Linked DNA regions of Struthio camelus. The protein of the gene in region 2 binds, or shares a complex with, the protein of the main gene of each other region. Links are inferred from orthologs where the notes say so. Each region holds a gene or a part of one and is shown on either strand. Other genes may lie near its edges.

The links.
Region 1: METTL3 (region 2) and WTAP share a complex: the UniProt entries of both Homo sapiens proteins name them as parts of the WMM complex. The link is inferred for Struthio camelus from reciprocal best matches to the Homo sapiens genes METTL3 and WTAP.

What each region holds. Positions count from the first base shown.
Region 1 is NC_090944.1:85,122,625-85,133,128, reverse strand, and holds the start of WTAP (pre-mRNA-splicing regulator WTAP), read left to right. Parts: upstream 1-6,508; 5' UTR 6,509-6,809; intron 6,810-7,333; exon of another isoform or gene 7,334-7,508; intron 7,509-10,504. UniProt on the Homo sapiens protein: Associated component of the WMM complex, a complex that mediates N6-methyladenosine (m6A) methylation of RNAs, a modification that plays a role in the efficiency of mRNA splicing and RNA processing.
Region 2 is NC_090970.1:82,998-92,805, reverse strand, and holds the start of METTL3 (N6-adenosine-methyltransferase catalytic subunit), read left to right. Parts: upstream 1-5,468; 5' UTR 5,469-5,538; coding exon 5,539-5,632; intron 5,633-7,780; coding exon 7,781-8,043; intron 8,044-8,131; coding exon 8,132-8,476; intron 8,477-9,187; coding exon 9,188-9,363; intron 9,364-9,473; coding exon 9,474-9,690; intron 9,691-9,768; coding exon 9,769-9,808. Other genes in the region: SALL2 (sal-like protein 2), read left to right, coding at 1,469-3,273, 4,523-4,789. UniProt on the Homo sapiens protein: The METTL3-METTL14 heterodimer forms a N6-methyltransferase complex that methylates adenosine residues at the N(6) position of some RNAs and regulates various processes such as the circadian clock, differentiation of embryonic and hematopoietic stem cells, cortical neurogenesis, response to DNA damage, differentiation of T-cells and primary miRNA processing.

The DNA.
Region 1 (10,504 bases), on a different chromosome or scaffold from region 2:
TCAGTCAGTAAAAGTTAGGACGTCAATTTGGAACAGAGAGCTTTCTTGCTATCAGTAAAAAAGTAAGGTTATGTTGCGCAAAGTTTATTTATGGTGAAATGGACTTGTGTATTATATGAAATACTCAAAGGGTAAAGGTTTTGACGTGTTCGTTTAAGAGCGGCTCAGTTTTATTAGGAATAGGCTAAAATGTAGGCCATTTTAGTGTTCACTAATTTACTTCTTTTGTTTAAAATTATTTTCTAAATTTAGCCAGTACAAATATCGCTGTTCTTGCCCAGAGTGGGAGACCCTTGTTTTTTACCATCAATCTGACACTTGGCTCGTGAACATTTACAAAAAATACTTCGGTTGGGAATATAAGTCTGATAAAAATTAAGCCGTACCTTTTACAGGCAAAAGAAATCGCAAAGAACAATCATTTAAATCCCCAAGTATTTATATAAAATCATTCTGTACTTTTCAAAAAACTCTGAATTTTACTACTTTGCTATATAATAGGAAGGTTTCTAGTCTTCGAAGTCTCATACAGAGGTAATGTTATTAATATTTGCATTGTTGGGATCCTTACCGGAAAAATGCATGTGTACCTAAATGCGATTCCTCGTGTAAGGAGATGCAGCTTCTCTTCCTCCGCACTGATACCATCTTGTATCCTTCCATGCTGTGCAGTGAGAAGAAGTTGGTGCACTCCTCTTGTCACTAAGTGAAGGCATAATGTTACTCGCTTCCTCATCAGTGTTGCCAGTTGATCTGCACCTGAACAGGAACGCTCACAGTACTAAAATAGAAAAAAATACCAGCGTGTTTCCAGGATTAAGACCCAAGTTTGAAGCAGAAATGAGCCTTCTTCATATTTTAGGGAATTGGCCCTTTGCAGTAGAGTATAGTGTTTGTGATACTTAAATTTATGTCAAATAATTTGCCCACATTTGGGGCAGAGTCTGTCACTAACAGTGAGAAGAATATCCTCCTTTTCTGAATTTCTCTTGGTTTTTGTTCTTTGCCAGCTGCATGGGACACACTTGATACTTGCAGCAGTGTACATTGAAACCAATGTCTTCAAAGGCAAGAGTCAACCTTTGTCACAGTAAGTCATATTATATAAAACACCTCGTAATACTTGATACTTCTGGGGTCCATAGTTTTCATCGGAGTGCCTTATTCACAGATTTAGGACTTGAAGATACATTCGTCCTTTAGATAACATGTTCTGTGCTTGGTCTGTGTTTGAAATTATTTTTATCCTTGACAGGCAATGGGAATTGTCCTGTTGCTGGTTTAAGCAAAAAGCAGTTTTGTGGGTTTTGACAAAGGGAAAGCAAACCCACCCTTTTACTCCTTAAAAAAATTACATCAGCTACAGAAATAAATAAGCTTGACAGCTGGCATCATTTCACGAGAATCTGAGCCTTTTGTTCTTTTGGGAAAGATCTAAAGAAGCTTTTTCCCTTCTCCACATACTTCACCTAATTTGGCATCATATCAGGATGTATATGGCATTCTGGCTTGCGGAGCACCTTTAGTACCTTAAGGCCTAGAAGGGTCTCAGGTCTAGAAAGACCATTCATTCTTTTTCCTGGCTTTTTCACTAATGGGCTGACATCCAGCTGTCTACAGATAGGATCGGTACATAAGATACACCCCAAAGAACAAACTGTTTTCGTAGGGGGAGGAGATTTCCATTTTCTAAAATTCCTAAAGCCCAAATGCTGACCTGATTGGATGACTCCCTGGAAGTAAAGTTCCTGATAGGCAAAAATGTCCTTGGCTGTCTTAAGAGCAGTCTGTGTCTTCCTTGAATCTATTTTTGTCAGGAAAACTCATAATTTAAGAAGTGTTTAATAAAAATTGCTGACTTCCCCTTAGATAGAAAATGTTTGCATACTAAAACTGTTATGGCTTTATTGTGACTTAAGAAATAGGCATAGTAAACCCCTGTTTCTATATGCATATATGCACTTCAAATGCAAGCTTACGGTGTTTATCCTGTATCTCCAAAATGAGTTTAACTCAAATCACCAGTTGACTGTAATTGAATTTTAATTGATTGTATGTAATTCAGGGTGTGTCTCCAGGAAAGCCTCTGAAATGTACACATTGCTATAGTCAGCCCTCTTAACAGGAAAAAACTTCCTGAGCGTTATATTCTACATCACAATTCACAGGTGTACAGTGTCATCACATGTGCTGCAGTCTTGGAGACAAGTGTTGTAAATCTATTTGGCTCTGTAGATAGTAGAGTTGCACATGATTATACTATTGATTTTATATGCTCTCATGAGCACCTATGTATATTTATAAACAGTTATCGGTAATTAAAAGAGGAGTCTTTATGGGAGCTGTCTGAAGAAAATCTAGCTACCTCTCGCTTTAGAAATGGAACAAAAATGTGCAATAATTCCAGTAAGATGCTTAGAAATGTCTTGTCAGATGATGTAAAGAAAGCCTGCAGCCTACTAGTTAGAAAGCTTTTTTTTTTTTTTTTTGGAGAGCGAGAGTGCATTGAACTTAAAATTGGGCTTGTTGCTGTCCAGATTTTCACGTGGTAGTTACCCGAAGGATATCTCTGTCATTTTTTTCAGTACAGCAATCCATATATTTTATTTGCCCACCGCATCTGTAGGCTACAGCAGCCTTTTCCAGTGCCCTTGGAGCTCAGTTTCTGTTCCAGTTGCAAACCACTATTTTGCCTTCCTCCATCTTACATCCGTACAAGTCAAGGACTATCTTTTCAGAAGCTGATTAGCCTTTAGTTCCTTTTATTTTAAGATCTTTTAAAATGCTAACAAATGTTCATAACAGTACTCCAAACATTTTTTTCTTCTGAACAGTTTTTTATCTGACTTTATTTCTTACTAATATCCTAGCTTTTCTGATCTGCAGACTGTAGTTGTCATCTCTTACAATTTATTTTATGTGACTTTTATGCTATTAAATATTTGTCCTTAAAGCCCTGTTTCCCATGACATAGTATTTCATCCACATCTCAACTTTGAATCATGAAAATGCAGGGGAAAAATAGCCCTTATGATCCTGTAGAAAAGCTTGGAGGCCTGAAACAAATTTGTCTTTAAGGCTCACACAGCCTAAGACAGTAGAGAGTATTAAAATTCAGTGCGTTTGTATTTCAAACAGTTGTGTGATTTCTAATCTGGCTTGAGGGTTTAGAGATATAATGCATGAATTCTGGTTACTTCACGCTAGTGGTACTGTCTTGATCTTGCTTGGGTTGGGACCATCCTGTTGTAAAGCCGTCCGAGATAAGCAATGGCAAGAAAACTGTGCTGCCTGCAAAGCTCAGCAGCTCCTCCTCTGACTCCTTACAAAGCTTCATAGCCACAACACATACCAAGTGCTTCAGTTAAAACAGGGCTTCAGCTCTGCCAACTGTGTGTCAGCTGCTGGCTACCCAAAGAACTTGGGACATCCAGTAAGCACAGGAGAGGGCAGTATTAGTCCAAGTGAAGGCATGAAGAGGACAAACTATTAACAGAAAAAATAAGCCAAAATGTAATAAAGAGCATTTTTTCCGAGTTTAAAACTATTCTGTCACTGACATCTTTTTTTTTTTTTTTTTTTTTTTTTTTACATTTATGGAGTGTTTTAATGTTTTGTTCCAACTGGCTGTAACATGAAACAAGAAATCAAGAACAGAGCAGGTAAGAACCATTACAAGCCACAAGCCTTCCAGCAGGAAAATAATTAGGTTAGTGAACTACATGTTGTCTTTTGAAGAACCTAAAACCAGATGAGACAATATGAACAGATCTGAAACAAAACCAAAAACTCTATTGTTATTAGTATCTGCTGAGCAGGCCCTAGACTTGAAAACAGAGCTAGAAAAAGTGTGGAAAGTTATGGAGGAATACAGGGGTGTTACTCTAATGCCAAATGGCATTCTTGTCAATACAGTTTTCTTCTTTCTTTAATCCAATTTTATATCAAAGTCAAATGTAGAAGAGAGTCCGCAACAATAAAATACAATTCCTATGATCTCTTCTTAAACAATAGGAGATACAAATACAATATGCTTTGTGGAAGTACAGTGGTTATTTTCATCTTAAATGCATTTATTTCTCGTGTTTAATTTATGGAAAGCTGTATTGTCCAGGTGTTCATAATCTGGTTCATATTTCAACTTAGCAGTATATATATTTGTTGTGCTATTTTCTGAATTCTGTTTTTTCACTGGTTTTCGGACAGATATGCTTATTTGCCCTCTCATTTGTGGACAAGCAATGCTATTAAGAGCTGTGTTAGTACCTATTATTTGAAAAGGAAATTTATTCCGGTTATTATATTGTCACATAACCCAATGCAGGTGCTTATTAAGGTGTTTATTCTAGGAGCATTAAAATATACCAACTGAGACAGTTCTCATTGTGTTAGGTGCCGTGCAAGCAGAATAAGAGACTATTTCAGTGAAATGTGCTCTATCAGGGTACTAGTTAACAATTTGCTGTTTGTATTTTCTCACATAAAAATTTTAAGTATAGCTGATAATACACATGGTAATTCTAAGGGCTAGAAGGAAGGCCAGAATATAAAGCTCTACAGTCTGTATCCACTTATCTCTTGGTGTTTCTGGCTCTGTGCCGTTTGCTCAGCTAGTACGTTTCCCATAAATGTAATCTACACTTGTAAAACTAAATTTAAAATAACTAAGTGCTGACAAGGGAAAAGAATGCAGGATTATTTTCTACATGCTTATGACCTGGAAGAACAACAGGTACCAATGGTAAGTGTAAGGTCCGGTATCTCTTGACCCATCAGAGTTAGAACTTTACATATACTGTTAAAGATTAAAGACTGAAGAGAGATCCATTTTCCCAACATAACAAAAAAGTAGCTAAACTCTAGCCTTGGCAAATGTTGGGAGATCTTGTGTTCAATTTGTGATACCTAGAAAACATTAGGTAATTTATATACAGAATAGAAATGGCCTTAAGTACATCTCTGTATCTCTTTTGTATGTAAAAAAGTTTCCGTTTCTTGTCCTACTTGGCTTACGTGCATTTTAGTGTTGTAATGTTTACATTTGTGCATGAGCAAATAAAATCAATTTTCTACATTAATGTTCGCAGTAAGGACTATTCTGGTATATTGACACCTCTCCCATGCTGCTGTCTCTTGAGATGGCTTTATCTGTTAATTAGTGTCTTTAGTGCTTAAAAGAAGTACCTGCAAGGTGTCTGTGTACAAAAAAACAGTGAAAGGAGCAGTGAACCTCAAACTGTAATCACAGTGCGTATTTTTCACGTAAAAAAATAAGACTTCAGAGGAACGTACTCAAGCCCTTTTGATTTCACTCTCCTTGTGGTAATTAGTCACATCATTCTCTTTTTTTAATTTCAAGCGACAACAGTCAGGTCACTTAAAGCTTGGTCAGGGTGTTAATTTTTTTTTCAGCGAGAGCTTTTTTTTTTTTTTTAAATCTGTGCTGTGTGGATCTGCACCTCTGTACACTGGAATCTCTTGTGCAGTGAATATATTATTCTTGCTATCAGTAGCACAGTCAAGAAGACAGATTTCTGGAGTGTCTTCCACAGAAATTCAGTTGCAATCAATCACATCGTGCAACCCAGCTGACACTAATTTAGCCTACAGAAGCTTTATTACTTTGTTGGCAAGAAGGGAACACATCTAATTGTGCTAATAGCATTGCTTGAGAAATCATGGATAACAAGACAGAAATTCGATTTTAAAGTAGTTGTTCAGTGCTAGACTACAATTAAGGGCAATCAGTATGTTTCATTCTATTTTTTCCCCAAATGTTAAAGCTAAAGTTTAGCGTATTTGGAAACAGCTAGGATTTTTTTTCCCTCATTTGCTGACTGATGACGTTAATGTGCGCTTATGCCACTGAGGTGAATTTAACTGAGTGAAAATTTTCATTGCACAACGTGAAAGACAGGCAGAAAGCCGCGGAACTAATGCTGACAAGCAAGGTGCCCATCTTGCAGACTAACCACTGGCTGTGCCTGGCTGTGCGCAATCCTCGTTTTCAAAAGCCGCTGTCTTTTCAGCGTGTCTTCCAAGAAGGCGCCAAGCAGCGCTCCCACGGCGCCGCCCAGAAGGAGCAGCCCCGCGGCAGCAGCTCCCTGTCGGCCCTGGCGGACGCCCTGTTTCACGCGTGAGGCCGCGGGGAGGCGCTCGGTGCCGCTGCCCTCAGCCCTCGCGCCGGCAGGCGGCCGCTTCCCCCCGCCTGGCCCGCCCCCAGGATGCCCCGCGGCTCGCTACCCGCCGCGCGCCCGCCCCTCCCTTCTGCCCGTTTAACTGACAGGCTTTAAATCAACATTCAAATAAGGAGGGAAACCGCGGCGCGGGGACGGAAGGAGCATCTCAGTGCTGCCTGCCGCTGGGGAGAGAGCGGGGGACGAGCTCCCCAAAGGAGGCGCGGCGGCGGCCGGCAGAGCCGGACCGGGCGGCTCGGCCACCCCGCGGCCCGGGCCACTGCGGCGGCTCGCGCCGCGCGGGGCTGCGCGCGCAGCGCCGCCGCCTGAACGTGGGGGGCGGCCGGTGGGCGGGGCGGCTGGGCGCTCATTTCCTCCTTGGGCGCCATTTTGTAGCGCAGAGAATCCGCAAATAAAGAGCGGGCGGGAGCGGTACGTGAGGAAGCGCGGGGTGGGGGCACGCGGTGGTGACCCCGGCTCCGGAGCAGTGGTCCCGGTAGAGCCGGTTGCGGGCGCGCGCGCGGAGGTGGCGGCAGGTGTGAGGAGGTGGCGGCGCTTCGCCCCCGATGTGACGGGTGCGGCCCAGGCAACCAGTGTGCTGGGAGAGTGAGGCCTCCGCACCGCGGGCGGGAGGTGAGTGACCGCGCGAGCGCTCCTCCCCTCGGCCGGGCTCCCCCTTTCTCTGGTACCGCCGCCCTTCTCCCCCGCAGGAGGTAGCGGGGCCCTCGGCAGGGACCGAGCACCTCGCGGTCCCGGGGCGACCAACCCCGGCGGCTCCATCTCTCACCCCAAGTGGGGGGAGGAGCGGAAGCACTTAGAGCCATTTTGTGCGAGGCCGCGAGCCCGGCCTGGCTGCTCCGCTGAGATCCTCCTCCCCTAGCCTTCGGCTCCGCCACGCCCGGGCGCCGCCGCCGCCGCCGGGGCTCCCTCTGGGCGAGGGAGACGCGTTTTTTCTTTTTTTCCTTTTTTCTTTTTTTCCCCCCCTTCAGTTGAAGCTGAACGAGGACGGCCCGACGGGGCGGGTAGTGCCTGCCCTGCCAGAAGGGGGGAGGGGAAGGGGGTGGCAGGGTCTGTCAAACGTCTGTGACGAGCCGTGGGGTCAGTGGCCTGCAGCTGCGCCTGGCCGGGGACTGGCGGGGTCTCCGCGCAGGAGGCGGGGCTGCGCGGCAGCGGCCCGCCGTTGGGTTGGGAGGGGGTGCGGCCGCAGGACTCGGCTACGCGAGGCTCCTGACCGCGGTCGCTGAGGCTAGCGTGGAAACTTTCATAGGCCGGCATCTTACTCTGAACCTTTTTGTTTCGGGACACTTGAAGGCCTCGAGGGCTTTTCCCACGGTATGCTTTTTCATATCGTTGAAATAACTAGGAGTTACTTCAACTGTTGCTAGTAAAGCAGCACTTGAGTTATGTCTGGTATTACTTGATTGCCTTGTCTCTTAGCTCGTAGTGCTTGTTTTAATCTTTAAACTTTATGTTTTCTAAATGTTGTAGTAAAAGTTGCACAGAAAACTACAGTTTCTGAAATTAAAACGCACTTTCCCTGTTTCAGCCCTTTCATAGTTCAATTACTTTAGAGATTACAGGAGAATTCTTTTAGTGTCTATGATGGCCCCTTTTTAAGGGTGAAACACAGGTTTATATTGCTTATTGCCAGGAACGGATGTAGAAGTTGTGGAGTTTAACAGGTATCACTGCTCTGAAATCCTGAAAGTGCCTACTGAGGATAGCACAGGCTAAATTATTCATTGTATTAATTGAGAAGTGTAATCATGATAATTCCAGTCAGAAAATGGCAGTTCATCCTATTCTTGCAAAATATTACTGAACTGCTTAGCACAAGGGTCATCTGTCTTTCAGAGTAGGCACGTGGTGAGATGCATCTCTTGCTGCACAGCACTCCACATTACTCTATTAGACTCAATGAATGAATGTTTGAGTTGTAATAATATTGTTAATGTCTGTTGCATAACTTATCTGGTAAGCACAGAAAGAACTGAAGCAAATCACTGTGACAGCTAAGTGATACAGTAAGCCTGATGTTCTGATGCTTCCAAAAACACTGAGCACAGTGATAGAAATACAACCTATAGCAATAATGAACTCTTAAGCTGTTTGTAAGTTACTGTGGGTGCCAAAAAAAAAGCTGTTGCGTAGGAGTCATGAGGTGAAACTTGCACATACAAAAAGAACATGATCACTTAGCTGTCATAGTAAGAAGTTCAGATGTGATAAACCTAGGTTTCCAAAATAATACCTTACTAAAAATTTTCAGGGTATTTTTTAGTGAACAATTCTAGTCCTACAAGTGAAAGCAGGTGACAGTAAAACAATAACTTATGTAATGCAGTGGACTTTTTATCTTCAGCATGTGCATTAAAGGATTTTATCAGATAGCAGGGAGATGGCTTTGTTTTGTAAGTGGGAACGTGTTGGGCCTAGAGGTTAGAAGGGTAGTCTGGTTTGGTGCTGCCATGAGAAAACTGGTTGTGGGAGTCTTATGCTAGGTCTGGAGACGGGCAATAAGGATGGAGCATCAGCTTTTAATTTCTTTCGGTTGCTGTTGCAGTGGCACTCAAGTGTTTAGTTTGCTGTATACTGCTGAAGGGTTCACAAGCCAAGTCTTTGGAAAATTCATCTTTTTTGATACCTGTGTGTTCCTACTGTTTTTCTGACACATGATAATATCTGTTAGGTATGATTTAATCTAAGTGTATTTCCATGGGACATTTGAAAGGCAGATCTCTCTGTTAAGGACTTGAATCCTGCTGAAATCTTCAAAACTCCTTCCAAATACTGAAGGAGTTAAGTGTCTGAAAATCTTTAAGAAAATTGTAATGGGGAAGTAGGCCATTAAATTTAGGGGGCTGTGAGCATTTCCCCATATGATCTTAGTCATCCAAAATATCAGTTTAACTTGAGTTGAGCATCATTGGTTTGTATCGATAGTCTCTAATACATTTCATATTGCATTTAGTAAAAGTATAAAAGTCTTAAGTGGGAAGCTGCATCCAGAAGTTAAAGTTCTCTCATGTGTGAGAGAGTTGATGGTGGGGGGCCCTAGACCTCTTAGAGTAGAGAATCACTGAAGTGCCTGTGTGTTATGAAGATTAGGAACAGGAAGCTGACATTGGTCATAGATGCCTGTATTGAGTGTTATTAGCAACTTTTCTGTTCGTTCTAATGTCCCCCTTTACTTTATGAAGGGCTTGGAAGCCATTTCACCTGTGCACTGTAGGTGTTTAGTTGTTATTGTAGTTTTATTTGGTATAGTGCTATATACTGAATGTTAATATAGGTTGAAGGAGCTGTTGTTCACTTGGTATGCATTTATCTTTTTGACAGTGCTGATGCCCTTAGGTTTTAAAGAACTTTAATTAGTTTATTGGGTGATTTTTTTTTTTTTTGTGAAAATACCAAGAACTTTCTGGTATTTTCACAAAAGCACCCAATAAACTAATTAAAGTTGCGTGGGGTTTCTTTCCCCTCCAGCAATCACTTTTAAACAACTTAAATGCATTGTATTTGTGAAGCTAACTGTTTACAAGTGAGGAACTGGCTACATCTGTTTTCTGGTGTATTTACATGGCAAAAATCTTTTAAGCTTACAAAAGCTCAATGTTATGTACAGCTCTTCTGTTGGAAGGCATATTGCAAAAGATGCATGGCTCCAGCAAAGCTTGCCTTTGTTTCTTTTATGATCTTTGCGGGCTCTTTTTTAATAATCATAGTAATAGAAAATGTTTTCTGTCCTTTTGAAGTAAGGAAGCAAGTCCTGTAATACAAGGAATTGGGACTAATTAACATAAGCGTAATAGGGTTGTGTTGTGCTATCAACAGACAAGAGGAGTTGTATTTGATGGTGTGCTCAAGCCATTTGTTTTTTCTTTTCCTAAAGATAACCTAAAGGGTTTTAAAATAACTGCTTGACACTTTGTTTATCAAAATCTTAAAAGTAAGAGGATAAGTAGTTGGAAGAGCTTGCTGTCTTGACATTCCCTAAATATTAGTGGTAATGTTTCCAAATCATTTGCTTTTATTTCAAAGAGATAAACACTGAAACCACTGAAATAGTGGTATAAATTACTTTCTTCAAGTCCTAATTATGCTCTGCCTTGTGTATATGTTGAAAAAATTCAGTAGTTGTAGACAGATATCAAATGTCAGTTTGATCTAAAAACAAATATAGACAAAGTTAGATGGTTTCACCTTAAATAAGGAAGAGTTGATTGTTGATATTCTTTCAGACACCAAAAGAGCACTTTGGGTAGTTTTTACAAAGGTGTCTGATGACTTTGTGTCTAGATTACAATTGCAAAGTTGTCGTAGAGTTG
Region 2 (9,808 bases):
CCCACGTCTGTCCATCCTCTCTTCCGTCCCCGCGTCCGTCTGTCCTTCGGGTCCCCGCATCCCTCCGTCCCCACGTCTGTCCATCCTCTCCTCCGTCCCCGCGTCCGTCTGTCCTTCGGGTCCCCGCATCCCTCCGTCCCCACGTCTGTCCATCCTCTCCTCCGTCCCCGCGTCCGTCTGTCCTTCGGGTCCCCGCATCCCTCCGTCCCTCCGTCCCCACGTCTCTCCGTCCTCTCCTCCGCCTCCGGGTCTGTCCATCCTTCAAGTCCCTGCATCCATCCCTCCATCCCCGTGTCCATCCATCCCTCCCTCCGTCTCCGTGTCCATCCATCCGTCCCTCCATCCCTGTGTCTGTCCGTCCATCCCTCCGTCGCCACATTTGTCCATCCGTCCCTGTGGCCATCCCTCCATCTGCATATCCATCCATCCCTCTGTCCCCGTGTCTGTCCATCCCTCCCTCCATCCCTGTGTCCATCCATCCCTCCATCCCCGTGTCCATCCATCCCTCTGTCCCCGTGTCCATCCATCCATTCATGTGTCCGTCCATCCATCCCTCCATCCCCGTGTCCATCCATCCCTCTGTCCCCGTGTCCATCCATCCATTCATGTGTCCGTCCATCCATCCCTCCATCCCCGTGCCCATTCATCCCTCCCTCCGTCTCTGTGTCCATCCATCCATCCCTCCATCCCTGTGTCCGTCTGTCCATCCCTCCGTTGCCACGTCTGTCCATCCGTCCCTGTGTCCATCCCTCCATCTGCATATCCATCCATCCCTCTGTCCCCATGTCTGTCCATCCGTCCATGTGTCCATCCATCCGTCCCTCCATCTCCGTGTCCATCCATCCCTTCATCCCCGTGTCCATCCATCCCTCTGTCCCCATGTCCGTCCATCCGTCCCTCCATCCCCGTGTCCATCCATCCCTCTGTCCCCGTGTCTGTCCATCCATCCCCGTGTCCGTCCATCCATCCCTCCATCCCTGTGTCCATCCATCCCTCCATCCCCGTGTCCGTCCATCCATCCATGTGTCCGTCCATCCGTCCATGTGTCCGTCCATCCATCCCTCCATCCCCCGTCCGTCCATCCCTCTGTCCCCATGTCCATCCATCCGTCCATGTGTCCGTCCATCCGTCCCTCCATCCCCGTGTCCGTCCTTCCATCCATGTGTCCGTCCATCCGTCCCTCCGTCCCCACATCTGTCCCTCCTCCCCTCCGTCTCCGGGTCTCTCCGTCCGTCCATCCATCCGTGTCTGTGTCCTTGCCCACCCCATGGTGCATCCATCCATCCATCCATCCGTCCATCCATCCGTGTCTGTGTCCTTGCCCACCCCATGGTGCATCCATCCATCCATCCATCCATCCATCCATCCATCCATCCGGGGCAGGAAAACCCTCCCCTGATCCCCCTCTGTGGGGCCAGTGCATTTCGGGGTGGGACGGCGCCAAATCCCGGCCCCTCTCGCCCTGCAGGTTCCCCGGCCGCCACCGCCGCTCCTTCCTCCTCCTCCTCCTCCTCGGAGCCGCCGCCGATGGACGCGGAGCCGCCGCCGCCGCCGCTGGACATCCCGCTGCTGCTGGAGGAGCTGCGGGTGCTGCAGCAGCGGCAGCTCCACCAGCTGCAGCTCACGGAGGAGATCTGCCGCCAAGTCCTGCTGTTGGGCGCCCCGGCCCCACCTCGGGCCACCCCGACCCTCTTCGCCGCCGCCAAAACCCAACCGCCGCGGGCCCCGGCGTCCGGCCCCCCACCTAAACCCACCTTCTTCCACCTCTACCGCCCGTGGGGGGCCAAAGCCGAAGCGGCCGCCTTCCCGGCGCCGCCGCCGCCGCCGCCGGCCTTCCCGGGTTTGTTGCGTCCCAAGAACGAGGCGGAGGAGAAGCCGGGCGGGCGGCACCGGTGCCGCTTCTGCGCCAAGGCCTTCGGCAGCGACAGCGCCCTGCAGATCCACCTGCGCTCCCACACCGGCGAGCGGCCCTACAAGTGCAACGTCTGCGGCAACCGCTTCACCACCCGCGGCAACCTCAAGGTGCACTTCCACCGCCACCGCGACCGCTACCCCCACGTCCAGATGAACCCCCACCCCGTGCCCGAGCATCTCGACTACCTCCTGGCCGGACCTCGCTGCCCGCCGCCGGAGAAGAGCGAAGCCGGCGAGAAGCCGCCGCCGGTGCCACCACCGGTGCCGCCACCGGTGCCGCCGCCACCACCGGTGGTGGCCACCGAGGGCCTCCCGCTGCTGCCCCAACCCTTGCCGGGCTTCAACAAGCTGGTGCTGCTGAAGGCGGCCGAGGAGAAGGCCAAGGGGGACGAAAACACGCCGCCGGGCAAGCTGCCCGCCTGGGCCGTCTTGGCCAACCACTTCAAGGGCGGCCACCACCACCACCACCACCACCACCACCACCACCACCACGCCGCCGCCTTCCCCTTCCTCCTGGAGCCGCCGGCCCCCTCCGAGACCTCCAAGCTGCAGCAGCTGGTGGAGAAGATCGACCCAACAGAGACGCCGGGGACGGCGGCAGCGGCCGCCCCGCCGCCGCCACCGCCGCCACCGCCGCCGCCGCCGCCGCCGTCCTCTTCCAACCAGTGCCCCGTGTGCCGCCGGGTGCTGAGCTGCCCCCGGGCGCTGCGGCTGCACGCAGGGCAGCACGCCAGCGGCGCCAGCGCCGAGCGCCCTTTCCGCTGCCAGGCCTGCGGCCGGGCTTTCTCCACCCGCGGCAACTTGCGGGCTCATTCGGCCGCCCACCGAGCCAGCCCCACCGCCGCCGCCGCCGCTCGGCCCCGAACCTCCTGCCCCATCTGCCAGAAGAAGTTGGCCGACGGCCCGGGCCTCCAGCACCACGTCCGCCTGCACCTGGGCGGGCAGGTGGCCAACGGTGGCCCGCCGCCCGCCCGCCGGCCCCACGAGTCCTCCGAGGACGAGGAGGAGGAGGAGGACGACGACGACGACGACGAAGACGAGGAGGAGGACGCCTCTGAGGAGGACGCCTCCGAGGAGGATGACTCCGAGAAGGCCCCAGCCGAGGAGGAGGAGGACGAGGAGGACGAGGAGGAGGAGGTGGTGGTGGAAGAGGAGGAGGATGAGGAGGAGGATGAGGAAGGCGGCGCTCCTCGCCGCCCGGCCGGCAGCCCTGCGCCGCCGGCCTCGGAGGGAGCCGGCGAGCCCCAGGTGGAGGAAGGTGGAGCGCGCCGAGGGGACGACGCGCAGCCGGAGGAGCCGCGGGCCAGCCCGGCCGAGGACGGCGCTCCTGACGGGGCCGCGCCGAAGAAGCAGGGGCAGGTAAGGTCCCTAGGGACGCTCCCAGTCCCTCCGTAGGGATGCTGGTGCTCCCTAGGGACGTTCCCAGGCCCTAAGGACACTCCTGGTCCCTCTGTAGGGATGCTGGTGCTCCCTAGGGACACTTCTGGTCCATAGGAACGTTCCTGGTCCCTTCATAGGGATGCTGGTGGTCCCTAAGGACGTTCCTGGTCCATAGGGACGCTCATGGTCCCTCCCTAGGGATGCTGGTGGTCCATAGGGACATTCCCCATCCATAGGGACGCTCATGGTCCCTCCCTAGGGATGCTGGTGGTCCATAGGGACCTTCCCGGTCCATAGGGATGTTCCCAGTCCATGGGGACGTTCCCGGTCCCTGGGGACACTCATCCCTAGGGATGCTGGTGGTCCATGGGGACCTTCCCAGTCCATAGGGATGTTCCCAGTCCATGGGGATGTTCCCGGTCCCTGGGGACGCTCATCCCTAGGGATGCTGGTGGTCCATGGGGACCTTCCCGGTCCATAGGGATGTTCCCAGTCCATGGGGACGTTCCCGGTCCCTGGGGACACTCATCCCTAGGGATGCTGGTGGTCCATGGGGACCTTCCTGGTCCATAGGGATGGTCCCAGACCATGGGGACTTTCCTAGTCCCTAAGGATGTTCCCGGTCCATAGGAATGCCCATGGTCCCTCTCTAGGGATGCTGGTGGTCCATGGGGACCTTCCCGGTCCATGGGAACACTCATGGTCCCTCTCTAGGGATGCTCCTGGTCCATAGAGACATTCCTGGTCCATGGGGACGCTCATGGTCCCTCTCTAGGGACGCTGGTGGTCCATGGGGACGTTCCTAGTCCATGGGGACACTCATGGTCCCTCTCTAGGGACGTTCCTGGTCCATAGAGACGTTCCTGGTCCATGGGGACGCTCATGGTCCCTCTCTAGGGACGCTGGTGGTCCATGGGGATGTTCTCGGTCCATGGGAACACTCATGGTCCCTCTCTAGGGACGCTGGTGGTCCATGGGGACGTTCCTGGTCCATGGGGACGCTCGTGGTCCCTCTCTAGGGACGTTCCTGGTCCATGGGGACATTCCCGGTCCATGGGGACGCTCATGGTCCCTCTCTAGGGACACTGGTGGTCCATGGGGACGTTCTCGGTCCACGGGGACGTTCCCAGTCCGACGGGGACGTTCGGGACGCCGCTTCTTCCCCCCAACCACCTCCTCCCTCGCCTCCTTGCTCTTCCCCCCCCAACCCCCACCGCCCCCCCAACAGGTGCCGCCATGCTGGAGCGGCGGCCCGGCGGCCCGCGCCCCCCGCCCCGCGCCGGGCCCCCAACCGCCGCCGACGCCGCCGAGCCGTGGGGCCGGCAAACCGCCGGAGCTGCCCCCACCGCCACCACCGCCGCCGCCGCCGCCGCCGCCGGCCCTCTCCTTCTGGAGCCAGTACGGCGCCTTCGCGGCCGCCGGCCGCCCCCGACCCGGCCCCCCGGCCCCCGCCGACCCCCCGGCGGCTTCGGGGCAAGGCCCGGCCGAGAAGTAGCGCCTCGACGGGTCCCTTTTTATCTTTTAATCCTAGTTTCGCCTCGACTGTAGCGCACAGGGCGCCCCCTTCGCCTCCCCTCGCCGCCATCTTGACCCCCCTCCTCCGTCTTCCTCCTTTCCCCCAACCCCAGCGTAGCCTCCTCCATTAAAGCCCTTCACGGTGACTCGTCTCCGCTTCTTGTTTTGGGAGGGAGGAGGCGGCGTCGTATTTTGGGGAGGAAAATGGGTTATTTTGGGGGGTGGGGGGGGTTCTCCCGCCTCTCCCCCCCCCCAACAACGCCCTCTGCCAGGGCGTAAGATGGCGGCCCCGCCCGCAACAAAGATGGCCGCGCGCCGTTGCCAGGGCGCCGCCCGCCGCTAAGATGGCCGCGCGCGCCCGCGGCCAAGATGGCGCGCGCGGCTTCGCCGTGAGGGCGGCGCCGCCCGTTGCTAGGACACCGTCCCCCCTCCTCCCTCCTCCCGCGCGGCGTTCTGCTGGCCGCCGTGCCCGCAGCCAAGATGGCGCGCGCGGCTTCGCCGTGAGGGCGGCGCCGCCCGTTGCTAGGACACCGTCCCCCCCCCTCCCTCCTCCCGCGCGGCGTTCTGCTGGCCGCCGTGCCCGCAGCCAAGATGGCGCGCGCGGCTTCAGGGCGCGGCCTAGCGGGCGCCGCTCCGCCCCGCTTCCGGTTCGGCGGCGGCGGCGGCGGGGCCGGGAGCGGGGCCGGGGCCGGGGCCGGGAGCGGAGCCGCAGCCGCAGCCGCCAGCGCCATGTCGGACACGTGGAGCTCGATCCAGGCGCACAAGAAGCAGCTGGACTCGCTGCGGGAGCGGCTCCAGCGGCGGCGGAAGCAGGACCCGCTCGGTGCGGGGCGGGGGGGGGCGCCGGGAGGGGGTCAGAGGGCGTCGGGAGGGGTCAGGGGGCGTCGGGAGGGGTCAAGGGGCATCGCGAGGGGGTCAAGGGGCATCGGGAGGGGTCAAGGGGTGCCAGGAGGGGTCAGGGGGCGTCGGGAGGGGATCAGAGGGCACCAGGAGGGGGTCCAGGGGCACCAGGAGGGGTCAAGGGGTGTTGGGAAGGGTCAAGGGGTGTTGGGAAGGGTCAAGGGGCGTCAGGAGGGGGTCAGAGGGCACCAGGAGGGGGTCAGGGGGCGTCGGGAGGGGTCAAGGGGCGTCGGGAGGGGTCAGAGGGCGTCGGGAGGGGTCAGGGTGCATCGGGAGGGGTCAGGGTGCATCGGGAGGGGGTCAAGGGGCATCGGGAGGGGTCAGAGGGCGTCGGGAGGGGGTCAGGGGGCGTCGGGAGGGGTCAGGGGGCGTCGGGAGGGGTCAGGGGGTGTCGGGAGGGGGTCCAGGGGCACCAGGAGGGGTCGGGGGCGTCGGGAGGGGTCAGAGGGCGTCGGGAGGGGGTCCAGGGGCACCAGGAGGGGGTCCAGGGGCACCAGGAGGGGTCAAGGAGTGTTGGGAAGGGTCAAGGGGCATCAGGAGGGGGTCAGAGGGTGCCGGGAGGGGGTCAGAGGGCACCAGGAGGGGGTCAGGGGGCATCAGGAGGGGTCAAGGGGCGTCGGGAGGGGGTCAGAGGGTGCCGGGAGGGGGTCAGAGGGTACCAGGAGGGGGTCAGGGGGCGTCGGGAGGGGATCAGAGGGCACCAGGAGGGGGTCCAGGGGCACCAGGAGGGGGTCAGGGGGCATCAGGAGGGGTCAAGGGGTGTTGGGAAGGGTCAAGGGGCGTCAGGAGGGGGTCAGAGGGCACCAGGAGGGGGTCAGGGGGCGTCGGGAGGGGTCAAGGGGCGTCGGGAGGGGTCAGAGGGCGTCGGGAGGGGTCAGGGTGCATCGGGAGGGGTCAGGGTGCATCGGGAGGGGGTCAAGGGGCATCGGGAGGGGTCAAGGGGCGTCGGGAGGGGGTCAGGGGGCGTCGGGAGGGGTCAGGGGGCGTCGGGAGGGGGTCCAGGGACACCAGGAGGGGTCGGGGGCGTCGGGAGGGGTCAGAGGGCGTCGGGAGGGGGTCCAGGGGCACCAGGAGGGGGTCCAGGGGCACCAGGAGGGGTCAAGGAGTGTTGGGAAGGGTCAAGGGGCATCAGGAGGGGGTCAGAGGGTGCCGGGAGGGGGTCAGAGGGCACCAGGAGGGGGTCAGGGGGCGTCGGGAGGGGGTCAGGGGGCGTCGGGAGGGGGTCCAGGGGCACCAGGAGGGGTCAGGGGGCGTCGGGAGGGGTCAGGGGGCGTCAGGAGGGGGTCCAGGGGCACCAGGAGGGGGTCCAGGGGCACCAGGAGGGGTCAAGGAGTGTTGGGAAGGGTCAAGGGGCATCAGGAGGGGGTCAGAGGGTGCTGGGAGGGGGTCAGAGGGCACCAGGAGGGGGTCAGGGGGCATCAGGAGGGGTCAGGGGGCGTCGGGAGGGGGTCAGGGGGCATCAGGAGGGGTCAGGGGGCGTCGGGAGGGGGTCAGGGGGCGTCGGGAGGGGGTCAGGGGGCGTCGGGAGGGGTCCAGGGGCGTCGGGAGGGGTCAGAGGGCGTCGGGAGGGGGTCAGGGGGCGTCGGGAGGGGTCAAGGGGCATCAGGAGGGGGTCAGAGGGCATCAGGAGGGGGTCAGAGGGCATCGGGAGGGGGTCAAGGGGCACCAGGAGGAGGTCAGGGGGTGTCGGGAGGGGTCAGAGGGTGCCAGGAGGGGGTCAGAGGGCATCGGGAGGGGTCAGAGGGCATCGGGAGGGGGTCAGAGGGCATCGGGAGGGGGTCAGAGGGCATCGGGAGGTGGTCAAGGGGCATCGGGAGGGGTCAGGGGCACCAGGAGGAGGTCAGGGGGTGTCGGGAGGGGTCAGAGGGCATCGGGAGGGGGTCCAGGGGCACCAGGAGGAGGTCAGGGGGTGTCGGGAGGGGTCAGAGGGCATCGGGAGGGGGTCAAGGGGCGTCAGGAGGGGGTCAAGGGACGTCAGGAGGGGTCAGAGGGTGCCAGGGCGGTGGAGGGGGGGGTGGGAGGAGGAGGAAGGAGCCTCGTCCCTCCGATCCCGACCCCCCTCGGCCCCCAGACCCCCGTCACCCGGAGCTGGCGCTGGCCCCTCCGTCCCGCAGCGCCAGCCCGGCCCCCGTCGCCCCCGCGGCGGCGGCGGCCGGAGGTGTCGGAGGAGCGGCCGGCGGAGGAGGAGGAGGAGCAGGAGCGGCGGCCGGCGGCGGCGGAGCGGCCGAGCTGACCACCGACCCGGCGCTGGAGCGGCGGCTGCTGCGGCACCTGGCCGACCTGGCGCTGCCGCTGCCCACCGACGCGCTGGCCATCTGCCGCGCCATCGCCACGGTACGGCCGCCTCCTCCTCCTCCGGCCCCCTTGCCGGATTTCCCGCCGCCGCCGCCGCTCTCAACGCCCGCTCTGTCTCGCCCCGCAGCCCGACGCGCCGGCCGCGCAGCGCAGCGTGGAGAGCCTGCTGCAGAAATTCGCCGCCCAGGAGCTCATCGAGGTGCGCCGCGGGCTGCTGCACGAGGAAGCCGCTCAACCCACCCTCGTCACCTACGCCGACCACGCCAAGCTCTCGGCCATGACCGGCGCCGTGGCCGAACGCAAGCGGCGGCCCCAAGCCGACGCCGCCGACGGCTCCGCCGCCCCCGCCGCCCCCGCCGCCGAAACCGGCAAGGAACCGGCTAAGAAGTGGCGCAAGCAGGCCTCCGACGTCGACCGGGAGATCGAGAGCTTGCTCAGCCAGCAGTCCACCAAGGAGCAGCAGAGCAAGAAGGTAGCGGCGCCCCCCCAAATCGCACCCGGCGCTCGCTTTTCCCCCCCAAGAGGCACCTGGTGTTCACCTTTGTGCCCCGAAAGGCTCCTGGCTTTCGCTTTTTCCCCCTAAAAGGCGCCCGGTGCTCACTTTTCGCCCCGAAAAAGCACCCAGCGCTCGCTTTCCCCCCCCCAAAAGGTGCCTGGCTTTCGCCTTCATGCTGCAAAAGGAACCTGGTGCTCGCTTTTCCCCCCAAAAGGCACCCAGCTTTTACCTTTGTGCCCCGAAAGGCTCCTGGCTTTCACTTTTTCCCCCTGAAAGGCACCTGGCTTTCGCCTTCGTGCCTCAAAAGGCGCCCGATGTTCGCTTTTTCCCCCCAAAAGGTGCCCGGCTTTCGCCTTCGTGCCCGAAAAGGCGCCTGGCGCTCCTTTTTCCCCCACAAAAAGGCTCCTGGCTTTCACTTTTTCCCCCTAAAAGGCACCTGGCATTTGTCTTTGTGCCCCGAAAGGCACCTGGTGCTCGCTTTTTCCCCCCAAAAGGCGCCCGGCGTTCACCTTCGTGCCCGAAAAGGCGCCCAGCGCTCGCTTTTTCCCCCCCGAAAGGCACCCAATGTTCGCTTTTTTCCCCCCGAAAGGCGCCCGGCGTTCGCCTTCGTGCCCCGAAAGGCGCCCGGCGCCCGCCCTCGCCCCCGCCGAAGGGTTTCGGCCCGGGCGTTTGCCCCGCTCTCCCCAGGTGAGCCAGGAGATCCTGGAGCTGCTCAACACCACCACGGCCAAGGAGCAGTCCATCGTGGAGAAGTTTCGCTCGCGGGGCCGGGCCCAGGTGCAGGAGTTCTGCGACTACGGCACCAAGGAGGAGTGCATGAAGGCCACCGACGCCGAGCGGCCCTGCCGCAAGCTCCATTTCCGGTGCGTCCTTCCTTCCTTCCTTTTTCCTCCTTTCCTTCCCCGTTTCCAGCCTCGTCCCGCCTCCGCGCCTTTATTTTTTTGGGGGTTGCTTCCCTCCTCGCCGCCGCCAGGCGCATCATCAACAAGCACACGGACGAGTCGCTGGGCGACTGCTCCTTCCTCAACACCTGCTTCCACATGGACACCTGCAAGTACGTCCACTACGAGATCGACGCCTGCTGCGACGCCGGAGCGCCCGGCGGCCGCGAGCGCAACCCCGGCCAGGAGCTGGCTTTGCCCCAGGCCGTCGGCGGCGACGCCAGCGTCGACCGCCTCTTCCCGCCGCAGGTAGGGCTTCCCGGCCGGGGCGGGAAGCGAAGGCGCTCGAACCGCTCCGTGTTTGTTTCGTTTTCTTTCCTTTTCCAGTGGATCTGCTGCGACATCCGCTACCTGGACGTCAGCATCC